Mus musculus: one gene and its partners. The protein of the gene in region 1 binds, or shares a complex with, the protein of each later gene. Links are inferred from orthologs where the notes say so. Each region holds a gene or a part of one and is shown in the gene's direction. Other genes may lie near its edges. The genes, in order: Prkaa1, Prkab2 and Prkab1.

Evidence for each region.
Region 2: the proteins of Prkaa1 (region 1) and Prkab2 are in contact, whole or in part, in a crystal structure (PDB 4RER), measured with the Homo sapiens proteins. The link is inferred for Mus musculus from reciprocal best matches to the Homo sapiens genes PRKAA1 and PRKAB2. Residues at the interface, in NP_006242.5 of Homo sapiens: Gly20, Val22, Lys40, Lys42, Asn59, Arg60, Gln61, Lys62, Val69, Arg73, Val93, Ile94, Ser95, Thr96, Pro97, Ser98, Asp99, Ile100, Met145, Met175, Ser176, Asp177, Gly178, Glu179, Phe180, Arg199, Leu200, Ala202, Pro204, Glu205; in NP_005390.1 of Homo sapiens: Val80, Arg82, Ser84, Ser108, His109, Asp111, Ile115, Ser138, Asp159, Phe160, Glu161, Val162, Ala165, Leu166, Ser182, Ser184, Gly190, Gln191, Glu192, Met193, Tyr194, Ala195, Phe196, Glu199, Arg201, Lys203, Ser204, Pro205, Pro206, Ile207.
Region 3: the proteins of Prkaa1 (region 1) and Prkab1 are in contact, whole or in part, in a crystal structure (PDB 6C9H), measured with the Homo sapiens proteins. The link is inferred for Mus musculus from reciprocal best matches to the Homo sapiens genes PRKAA1 and PRKAB1. Residues at the interface, in NP_006242.5 of Homo sapiens: Gly20, Val22, Lys23, Ile24, Thr32, Lys40, Lys42, Asn59, Arg60, Ile63, Arg64, Val69, Ile72, Arg73, Ile76, Gln77, Val93, Ser95, Thr96, Pro97, Ser98, Asp99, Ile100, Phe101, Met145, Met175, Ser176, Asp177, Gly178, Glu179; in NP_006244.2 of Homo sapiens: Pro79, Val81, Arg83, Leu103, Pro104, Thr106, Val113, Ile115, Asp159, Phe160, Glu161, Val162, Phe163, Ala165, Leu166, Met167, Val168, Asp169, Ser170, Gln171, Arg201, Ala202, Pro203, Pro204, Ile205, Leu206, Pro207, Pro208, His209, Leu210.

What each region holds. Positions count from the first base shown.
Region 1 is NC_000081.6:5,171,304-5,174,950, forward strand, and holds part of Prkaa1 (5'-AMP-activated protein kinase catalytic subunit alpha-1), read left to right. Parts: intron 1-2,904; coding exon 2,905-3,129; intron 3,130-3,647. UniProt on the Homo sapiens protein: Catalytic subunit of AMP-activated protein kinase (AMPK), an energy sensor protein kinase that plays a key role in regulating cellular energy metabolism.
Region 2 is NC_000069.6:97,664,636-97,668,282, forward strand, and holds part of Prkab2 (5'-AMP-activated protein kinase subunit beta-2), read left to right. Parts: intron 1-1,946; coding exon 1,947-2,080; intron 2,081-2,723; coding exon 2,724-2,792; intron 2,793-3,647. UniProt on the Homo sapiens protein: Non-catalytic subunit of AMP-activated protein kinase (AMPK), an energy sensor protein kinase that plays a key role in regulating cellular energy metabolism.
Region 3 is NC_000071.6:116,017,797-116,021,443, reverse strand, and holds part of Prkab1 (5'-AMP-activated protein kinase subunit beta-1), read left to right. Parts: intron 1-976; coding exon 977-1,070; intron 1,071-1,325; coding exon 1,326-1,440; intron 1,441-3,362; coding exon 3,363-3,496; intron 3,497-3,647. UniProt on the Homo sapiens protein: Non-catalytic subunit of AMP-activated protein kinase (AMPK), an energy sensor protein kinase that plays a key role in regulating cellular energy metabolism.

The sequences.
Region 1 (3,647 bases):
TTAGGCGAACATTAAAAAATGTAACATGATGGGCAATCCTTGCTGGTAATTCTACACCTTCTCATGACACCATCTCAAGAAAACCAAACCAAACTAGACCGCACAGAGAGCAGAACAGAGTTACAAGTGTAACGTCACGTGTAGTTGTATAAGTATTCAAATAGCTGGCATTCATGTAGTAGCTTCATGTTTTATGAGGAAGGAAACTAAAGAAGTGGTCCTTTAAAAAAACAGACCAGCTGAATGTATTGCATGCCTATAGCCTGAGTATCGCACATGGATGCCAAGACAGGGCTATATAGGCCTGGTATCAAGGAAAATCGAGGTGAGGTGAGGGGCAAGAGGGTTATAAAAAGGGAGAAGGAAGGAGAGAGACTCATTTATGTTCAGTCTTGATCTAGATCTGCTAGAGATTGAAGTGTAAGACTGCTGAACTCTGAACTACTATCTAGCACTAAAGGACGGATGTATTTTCATTAGTTACTTTTTAAATAGCGTGAAAACAAAATTTAATTTGTGTTTTATTTCCTTGTTTTGTTCAAGGTTCAAGTTCCTCCTCCTCCTCCTCTCCTTCCTCTCCCTCCTCCTCTCCTTCCTCTCCCTCCTCCTCTCCTTCCTCTCCCTCCTCCTCCTCTTCCTCCTCTGTGATAGAGACAGTTCATTAACAAAGAGAAGGCACGCCTAAATTTGGAAGTGGGGTAGTGGTCTGGGAAAAGATATTTGCTTAAAGTTGTAAAATTTAATTTAAAAGACAGACTTTATTTTAAACCATATATGTATGTGTGTTTGTGTGAGGGTATGTGTACATTAGTGTAGGTGCTGACAGAGGTCAGAGCCCCCCAACCCCACCCCCCCAATCCTCACCCTTCAGCTATTGCTACGGGCAGTTGTAAGCTGCCTTGTGTGTGTGTGTGTGTGGGGGGGGTGAGAACTAAACCAGGGACCTCTATAAAAACAGCGCAGGTTCTCAATGGCTGAGACATCCCTCCAGCTCAGAGAATTTATTATTTTTTTCCATTTTTTAAAATTAGGTATTTACTTCATTTACATTTCAAATGATATCCCGAAAGTCTCCAATACCCTCCCCCAACCTGCTCCCCTACCCACCCACTCCCCCTTTTTGGCCCTGGTGTTCCCCTGTACTGGGGCATATAAAGTTTGCAAGACCAATGGGCCTCTCTTCCCAATGATGGCCGACTAGGCCATCTTCTGATACATATGCAGCTAGAAACACGAGCTCCGGGGTACTGGTTAGTTCATAATGTTGTTCCACCTATAGGGTTGCACACCCCTTCAGCTCCTTGGGTACTTTCACTGGCTCCTCTATTGGGGGCCCTGTGATCCATCCCATAGCTGACTGTGAGCATCCACTTCTGTGTTTGCTAGGCACCCGCATAGCCTCACAAGAGACAGCTATATCAGGGTCCTTTCAGCAAAATCTTGCTGGCGTAGAGAATTTATTTTTAAGATCAACGCTTTGGCTAGGCTTGGTGGTGCACCTTACCCAGGAGGTTAGACAGCAGTTTGTCTCCAGCTCAGGCTCCTTAGTGAGACAGGGCCAGCTTGGGAATAAATAAAATGCTCTTGCAAAAACAAGCAAGCAAAGAAAGAAATAAAAAACAAGTAAAAGTCAAAGCAAACAAAAACACATTGCTTCCTCATTGCTGCTGAAACACTAATGAGGTAGGGGAGGCCTGTTGCTCGCCAGTGCCCACAATCCCGTCCACCTCAACCATTTCCTTGTTTAAATGCTTCAAATGGTGATGGACCTAATTTAAAAAAAAATCCCTGTGCTTTCTATGTTCATGTGCTTATTTTTTTTTGACTGCTCAAAGAAAAGGTAATGAAGTGAATTAAAAAGATTCATTTGTGTTTTCTATCTTAATTCCTTTGATTTGAGAAAAATTCAAAATCTAGATGCTACAGGGAATATAACTAAAGAAAAAAGGCATGCGTCATGTTCAAGCATGCATAAAATGGGCTCTTGGGGAAATGTACAGTTTGGATGTCTTTCCTTGAGGTCTGTGTGAATAGGAGCACTCATTTTGAGAACAGTGTTTACTGCTGTCTATAGGAAGGAAGCACTCTCGTCACTCTGAGGGTTCGTTTTCCCCCTGAAGGCAGCCTCGGATGATTCAGCTGGTTTGCAGCTAGTTAGAATCCGTGTCTCCAGTGCTTCCTTCACGTAGACGCACTCACGCACGAAGAGGGCGAGTGTTCTGTGAGCTCCACTGCCCTTGGCTTGCTTCTGCAGCTCCAGCTTCCTGAACTGTGATGTGAGGGTTTTAGGAGAAATGGGTTCAGAGTCTGTCACTACAGACTTGAATCATGGGCCCAGCGAGTTGGCTCAGCTGGTAAAACATTTGCTGCCAAGTGCCTAGAGTCTGACCCCTGAATCCTGGGTAAAGGTAGGAGAGAACTGATTCCACAGAGCTGTCATCTCAGCTCCACACCCACTGTGGCATGTGCACACCATACACACGCACATGCATGTGCACACACACACACACACACACACACACACACACACTAAAAGTTACTTAAAGGTGAGGGTGGGGGAACAAAAAAGGTACTTAAAAAAAACTATCCCTGTGGCTCAAATCAACATTGATCATGATGGCTCAAGGGTTGACCTTATTGGTAGGAAGTTTGAGGGTCATAGTAAGGTAGTACAATTTGACCCATGGATCACAAGTTACAAAATAGCTTATTTTTAAACAGGTAATACTGATAAGACTAGTATCTTTATGTGTGATGTGCAACAACCACTATAGATACCATATTCTGACCACTGATTTCTTTAAAAATTATTTTCTTATATTTTTCATAAAGTATTTGTATTTGAAGAGTGTTGACCGATGCTTTTTGATATTGTGATTAATACAGTTAGCATTCTCTATGCAGATTGTACGCAGGCCCCGAGGTGGACATCTGGAGCAGCGGGGTCATTCTCTATGCTTTGCTGTGTGGAACCCTCCCTTTTGATGATGACCATGTGCCAACTCTTTTTAAGAAGATATGTGATGGGATCTTTTATACCCCTCAGTACTTAAACCCTTCAGTAATCAGCCTTTTGAAACATATGCTGCAGGTGGATCCCATGAAGAGGGCCGCAATAAAAGATATCAGGTAACTCACTTTATCTGCCTACTTGACCAACCAGCCAACAAACCATCTGTCTGTCTGTCTGTCTGTCTGTCTGGACTGTGTAGTCTTGGCTATCCTGGAACTCACTCTAAAGACAAGGCTGGCCCTGCCTCCCTCTGCCACCCGAGTGCAGTGCTAGGATTAAAGGCGCGTGGTATTACCATTGCACAGCAATATTAGGTGATTTTTAAACCAATGTATTTTTCTACCTTTTCGAGTCTCTAGATACCAGAGAAATTTCATTTTATTTTTTATTTTTATTTTTATTTTTTTTTTTTGGTTTTTTCGAGACAGGGTTTCTCTATATAGCCCTGGCTGTCCTGGAGCTCACTTTGTAGACCAGGCTGGCCTCGAACTCAGAAACCCGCCTGCCTCTGCCTCCCGAGTGCTGGGATTAAAGGCATGCACCACCACGCCCAGCTGAAATTTCATTTTATTAATGACACACTTTTCTTGTGGCAATATACTTTGAGTCATAGGAAATTGATTATTGTGCTCAA
Region 2 (3,647 bases), on another chromosome or scaffold:
CAGATCTCTTGTTTGCAAAGAGAATGAAACAAGGTCTCTTGTTTGCAGAGCCTGCCTTGGCTACTAGTCATGCCATCGCACACCAGCTCCCAGCAGTAAACTCGAGGGCTTGGACCCTCAGTGAACCTCAGTCATAATTACTGATACAGAGCCCATGACAGAGTCTCTAGGACAAGGGACAAGAAGTCCATGGCACAGTAACTACCTACTTAGAGTTAGTATATAAACTCAGAACTAACGTTACCGTGAGCGTTCTTACCGGCTGCGGGTGCACTGATCTTAAAAGGTTTCAGTTCTGAGGCCACTAGATCCCTGATTACCTTTTGATCTGCAAGTAACCAGTGAGCAGGTGACAGTAGCGGGAGGACAGCACACTTTGGGTGCACGCGGTTTCCTAGCCCAGTGATGTAAGGCATAGAGCGTTTATTAGGAATGTACAGATAGTGGGTGTGGCCATGTGTGTGACTTTTCAACGTCCAACTTGTATATGTTAGTATAAAGGACAATGCGTGAAAATTGCCCTGTGTTATTTGCCGGTGGTGTTTTGTGGATACTGAGCAGAACACCTGAAAGTATTTTGAAAAGTTACCTGTTGTGTCTATTGTTGAGTTTTGTTTAATAACAGAGCATTGCTTTGCCTTATATACTTATATATTGAAGCAAATCTGAGTTATTAAAATAATCTACTACTAAAATGTTTTCTCTGGAGCTATAAAATGTAAAATTTTAAAACAATAAAAACATAGTTCATTTAATTTTGTAAATTTAACCTGAATGCTTTTCACTTTTAAGTATAATCCAGATACCATGAATTTATCTTTTTTTTTTTTCTTAGTATATTGAGTTTTAGAACCATTGTCACCTCAAAAGAAGGACTATCTCCATCCCTTTCTCCTTTGTCCTGTGTCCGTCAAAGCTTCTGCGGTATAGCTTTGCCTTTTCCAGACAGTTGGTATAAATATAACCACACATTGTGTGGCTTCTTTCACTGTAGCAGGCTGCCTTCCAGGGCTCAGCCTTGTTGAAACATGTATCAGTACTTTGCTTCTGTTTGTGGCTGAGCAGAAGTCCACGGTATGACAGTTCCTTTTTGCTTCTCCATCCGTTGTTGACAGACATTTGGGTTTTGTTTCCTCTTTGGGGCTCTCATATATATTGCTTATAAACAGTTACGGTGAGGTTCTTGCGTGGGCTTATATTTTATCTGAGTTGTTACGCTCAGTAATGTGATTACCGGGTTACAAAGTTTGTTTAACTATTTGAAGACAGCTGTACTGTTTTTCAACGTGTTTATACTATGGTGCATTTCTGCCCACAATGGGAACACCGTAGTTTGGGGCTTTGAGTTTCTCCACGTTTCCTCCAGTCTTTGCTGTTTCAGAGACAGACAGCCATCCCAGTGAGTACGGAGCGTGGTCCTTGACTACACTGCATGCTCTTGACTGCAGCTGCGTGTGTTCTGTCTGCTGTAATCGTTATGGACCTAGAGTGTATAACGTTGCAGTCTGTCACTTTGGCAGGGAAAAAAATATGAACTCTAATCTCTTCACACTTTGTCCACACATCATCTTAACCACTCTCATTTTTATCTCCTCAAAAGCATTGTCAATGAAGAAGACATTTATCTGTGGATAAGTAAACTGACCAAAAAAAGGGGATCTGTCCAAGGTCACATGGCTGACAGCTGGTGGTGGTTGCCTGGAGCCTGGGCCCTGGCCTCTCATCTCTTCCTTACGTCACGCTGCCCGTTGAGAAGCTTCCTGGTCCATGCTCAGGTTGATTCAGACGTTTCTTTTTTACCCTGACAGCTCCAGCTGCAGTAGGCCACGAGTTCTTACGCTCCAGGACTTGTATTGCATTAAGATCAACGACTGTGCAGTCATAGCTCCCCCACGCATCCTCACTAATGCTTCAAGTTTCTTCACATTTGCATAAATATTTTTCAGACCTGTCCAGCTCACCCCCTGGGCCTTACGGTCAAGAAATGTATGTGTTTCGATCTGAGGAGAGATTCAAATCCCCACCCATCCTGCCCCCTCACCTACTCCAAGTTATTCTTAACAAGGACACGAATATTTCAGTGAGTATCCTGAGCAGGTTGCTAGAGCATGTGGGGATCCTTAGGACCATCAAGGCCAAAATTAGTAACCTCGGGCTGGAATTGTGTCACAGTTGTGTCATGATTACGGCAGTCGGCCGTGTGCACATCAGCACAGCACGGTGGAATCCTTTTTCCCAGACTGAACTATAACTTCTTTAGGTACCATTTGCAAACTTTATAGATGTCTGTTTCTAGTTTAATCAAAACCAAACTGCTAGAGTTGGTATGTGTTCTGACTTCTATTACAATACAAGATAAGGGGTACTCTCATTGGGGGAAACCCAGAAGTTCACAACTTTATATTAAATATTTTTAACCACGATTTCACTTAGTTGATAGTTCCTTGGAAGATTTTTTTTTTTCCCTTTAACCAAACCATCTGCATTTCTAAGCAAGGTTTTTGTTTTAATTCTCTTAGAGAAAATTAGCGGATGTTGGGGCTTAGCATTTCTGTGCTAGTCTGAGGATTTTTCGATCTTATCATCCGGGAATGCATGGCTTGTGGGAGACAAAGTATTCCTATTTAGAGTTCCCAACATTCCAGAGAGCTCTGGGGAAGAGTAAGCTGTTTGTTTTGTCTGTGTTTAATCACATTTGGCGCCGGGGGTGTCTTTTCTCCTAGTGTGACCCAGCCTTACTTCCTGAGCCCAATCATGTTATGCTGAACCATCTCTATGCACTGTCCATTAAGGTAAGTGGCGGCCCCGGTCCTCCACAGCCTCCCCGTGGAAGGGTAAGGGTCCCTCCAGCTCTTCAGCGGTAACTCACTCGCTGCTGCTTCTAAAGCTGCACTTGGCCCTGACGGTCAGATGGTAGATGGGCCGTCTCTTCCTAACTTGCAGGCCGTTGGATTTAAACCTCAGACTCTGGTCTGTGCGGGGACTGAGCTGTCAGTCATGGAGTCTTTCTGCTTCTAAGTTCCTTTGGGTGGCTGGACCCTTTGTCTCATCTGTTTCCTTAAGCTTGAGTTCATAGTGGTTGGAGTCCATCTGCAGGAAATCAGGTTTAGCTTCCTTCAACAAATACTTGAATGAGACATAAAACTTTACCTTTTAAAATGGGGCGTCAAGCTCCTTGCCCTGTCCTAGTTGTATATACCCAGGTGTGCTCCCATCTCTTACATAGTAGGAAGGGAATCGTGTGACTGGAGGTTCCCTGTCTTTCCCACCCCTGCCCTAGAGTCCTTAGTTTCTCCATTGCTTTAATGTCTTTGTGGCTTGGCTGTTGACTTAGAAGTGTAGTTCTGTGACTGTCTAAGCTGAGCCTCAGGTTGTGAGCCTTCAGATTGAGTGCTCTCATCCCCAGAGATTGTGCATACACACATCCAGGGTACTCCCAGTAGTTTCCCTATAAGCTGCTTGTATTTCTTAGATGTGCAGCCTGAGCAGAGAGATCTAGCCTTACTTCTGATAGAGCTGACTTTAATAGAGTGTGTGGTTGTATATAAAATCTTAATTCACTGAGTTTTATCTTTTGGTAACATTGAGAGGTATGTACTATTTTTAACCCCTGTTTTATAGATAGAGACCAAGACTCCGCGAAGTCA
Region 3 (3,647 bases), on another chromosome or scaffold:
GACATTTAGATATACATTTCTTCTGAGAAAGTTGTTCCCGGTGCATTGGAGAGAACGCTGGGCTGGGACCCTTAGGGGTGTGGATCCCAGCCCATTACTGCATGGAACGGTCACTTCTGTATCGGACTCCTGGACCAGGTGACCTGGATCCCTTCTAACTGAGTCCTGTGTGTTATTTTTTGGAAGGTTGGAAGTTCCATGCTCTGAAGACATCATTAGCAAGGGTTCAGTGAGACGATTTATCAAAACCCTGATGTGGCTGGGCAGTGGTGGCGCACGCCTTTAATCCCAGCACTCGGGAGGCAGAGGCAGGCGGATTTCTGAGTTCGAGGCCAGCCTGGTCTACAAAGTGAGTTCCAGGACAGCCAGGGCTACACAGAGAAACCCTGTCTCGAAAAAAACAAAAACAAAAAACAAAAAAAACAAAGCAAAACAAAAAAACCCTAGTGTGGACTCCTGTCATCGCGCCTTTACCAGTGACTACTTCTGGTAAACAGAGGGAGAGCCCGTGCCCTGCTGGTCTGAGCCCAACTGTTGTCAGTGTCCCTGTGTTTCCAGGGCTGCTACAAGTCCACAGCAATCTCAGGAGTGGCGGGGTAGTTAGACAGGTCTGTGTGGAGAACGTCTATGTGCCCTGTTACGCTGGCTCAGTCCCTGTCATGGCACACTGACAAAAGGGATGGCTCGGCAGCCTATGTTTACCTCCGTGGCACCCAGCCCGCCTGCCCGCCCGGTGGTATTCTGCGTGGAGACTTGGAAGGTATGAACAGCCATTTGTTGACCTTCCAGTGTTAGGATTCTAGGTTCCTAGTGTCTGAGCAAAGTGAGTTTCCTGCTGCTCCATTAGTGGCCGTGACCAAGAATTAATTGTCTGAATTGGTTGCCATGTTTGCCATCCTGCAGCCAAACTCTTGGTTATACCTGGAGTCAGAGGGCAGCCCACCCAGCTGAAATTCTACTTCCTTTCTTCCTGCAGCCAGAATAACTTTGTAGCCATCCTGGACCTGCCTGAAGGAGAGCATCAGTACAAGTTCTTCGTGGATGGACAGTGGACCCATGATCCTTCTGAGGTACTTTGCCTGCAGCCCTTGGCCCTCTAGTACCTACCTGCACAACCAGCACCCATCACCTCCCTTGTGGCGTGCTATCAGGACCCTCTTCCCTGCGTGTGGCTCTGAGTTAGATAGCGCCAGTTACCAGCTCATTGGTATAATTAACCAAGAGTCGCTAACCAGGCAGTGAGGCCTTCCAGCCAGGAATTCTAGTCCTCTGAAGAATCCACAGACCTTCCACGTTATGATTTCTGCCTATCTGTCTCTTCCCAGCCAATAGTAACCAGCCAGCTTGGCACAGTTAACAACATCATTCAAGTGAAGAAAACTGACTTTGAAGTATTTGATGCTTTAATGGTGGATTCCCAAAAGTGCTCCGATGTGTCTGGTATGAACAGTTACTTTATCCCACGTGTGTGCAGGCTGGGGCTCTGTGGCCTGGACATACTCTGTTTCCCTCGCCTCTCACACTTGAGCAAAAGCTGCCCAGCCAGGTGGACAGTTGTAGCTCTCCGGACCACAGCAGTTCCTTCCTAATTCCAGTGGCCCTGGCTGTTGGAGTTTAACCCCCAAAGAAACCATAAGTCACTGCCCTTGCCTTATGGGATATTTTGCAGTTCCACTTGGCTTTAGAACAGAGCTACACTTGATGTTATGCCATAGGCAGGCCTGAAGAGACCCACGAGGACACGTTGGGTCAGTAGTGAACCACTGCCAGGGAAACTGCCAGCTCGTGTCCTGCCAGTGGTGCCTGGAGAATTGCAGGCTGACAGGTGATAAACGCCACCTCGGTGACCTTGGCTGTCACTGGTGCCGTCCATTCACACTTGACTGGAAGTGACTCCCCATAGAAAACAGGCCACATGGCACAACGCTCTTTTCTGGAAACCTGTTGTGCTCAGTCACGGTAAACTAGAGTCCTCTAAGCACGGAGCTTTCGGTGACCTTTGTTCCGACCACATCTGGGAGGAAGAGAATCCCTGGAAGGTCAGAGGGACAGCTCAGGAGAGAAACTGTGTGTTAGAATCCAGATGGACGTTAGGTGTGCTTCCCTTCTTTGTGTGTGGGCTGCTTCCTGGGCAGCAGTTCTGGGAATCAGTAAGATAAGCTCTCAGCAGTAGCCAGCTATCAGTTTACCGAGGGCTTTCCCACCCTCACCTCCGTGTCTCTGGGATCTCTTACAGTTAGCACTTCTGACTCCACAGCTGTAATTGACTGGTGGGCTTGGCTGGCCGTGGTTAAGGTTACAGATCTAGGCTTAGAAATCTAAAAACAGTGCTCTCTTACTGGGGTTATCGGCCATTCCTGGATGACCACTTACACATTTCAGACAGGCAAAGGGTGCAGCCTGGAGGCAGTGCACACGCTTCTGACACGAACTTCACACTATTCAACAGAGCCTTCAGCTAAAGGTCTGGTTGATCATTTGCAGGCAGAAAGTGCACCGCCCCCTGCTGCTGGAGCCAGATCAGCTCTAAACTTCCTGTTAGACATTCAAGTGGCTTGTTTGGGTTTGTTTTTTGTTTTTTTTTTTTTTAAATGCCATGTATTTATTTCTTACAGCTCAGCTTTCTGCATCGAGTGCTTTTTCTCAGTTCTTGTGCTGAGGTGTGAAGGGAGCCTGACCTAGAAATTGATGTTGAGAAAGTTAAAGCAGCCCTGGGCCAGCTTAGGGGTCAGGTAGCCAGAACCCTTCCCGACACTCGGGTGACAGCTCAGTGCCATCCTCTATCTAGCCAGCCAGCTGTCATGATTCGAGGTGCTTCTAAGGCAAGGTACTGTGCTTCCAGAAGCTTCTACTGCGCCTACATAGTGAAAACACTCAGACCCAGGAGTGTAGAGCCAAAGATCCTTTACACGTTGGTCTTTATGGTTATTTTTTAGTGCATCAGTACCTCGTTAGACTTCTTTTATTCTGCCTGGGAGACTTGGTAACTTAGGCTGGGCCACTTAATCCCCACTTGAAGCCCAGAACTTGTGGCAGTTGCCAAACTCAGCCTGCAGTAAGAAGGAAGCCTTACTGTGCTGACGAGAGGCCAGGCTATGGGGGATGGCTTCCCTGTTAGGCTTTGCCACAGCTGCTCTTCCTTCCACTGAGCTTCTCGAGGTAGCGTCGAGCTTTATCCCGAGCACCCCGGTTCCAGGGCACTTTTCATCCCCTCTGGTTTTCCCTGTTTGAGCTTGAATGTCTTTGAAGAAAATACAAACCTGGATTGAGGAAATCAGGACAGAAAGCTAGATGAGGGCCCCATGCATCAAATGCAGCTGCAGAGCCTACAGTCTGAGTGTCTTGTCGACATCTCCCAACAGAGCTGTCCAGCTCGCCCCCAGGACCCTACCACCAGGAGCCTTACATGTCTAAACCAGAAGAGAGGTTCAAAGCCCCGCCCATCCTCCCGCCACACCTGCTGCAGGTCATCTTGAACAAGGACACGGGCATCTCTGTGAGTACTCCCATCTGGAGCTCCTTTCTGCTCACTTCTTAAAAGACAGTGGAGAACTCCTGTGCCTTCCACTGTTGGGGACTGCTGTGGTCCTCCCCTGACATTGTGAAAGATTCACATCTGTTACACACCCCTTGGTCAGCTAGACATT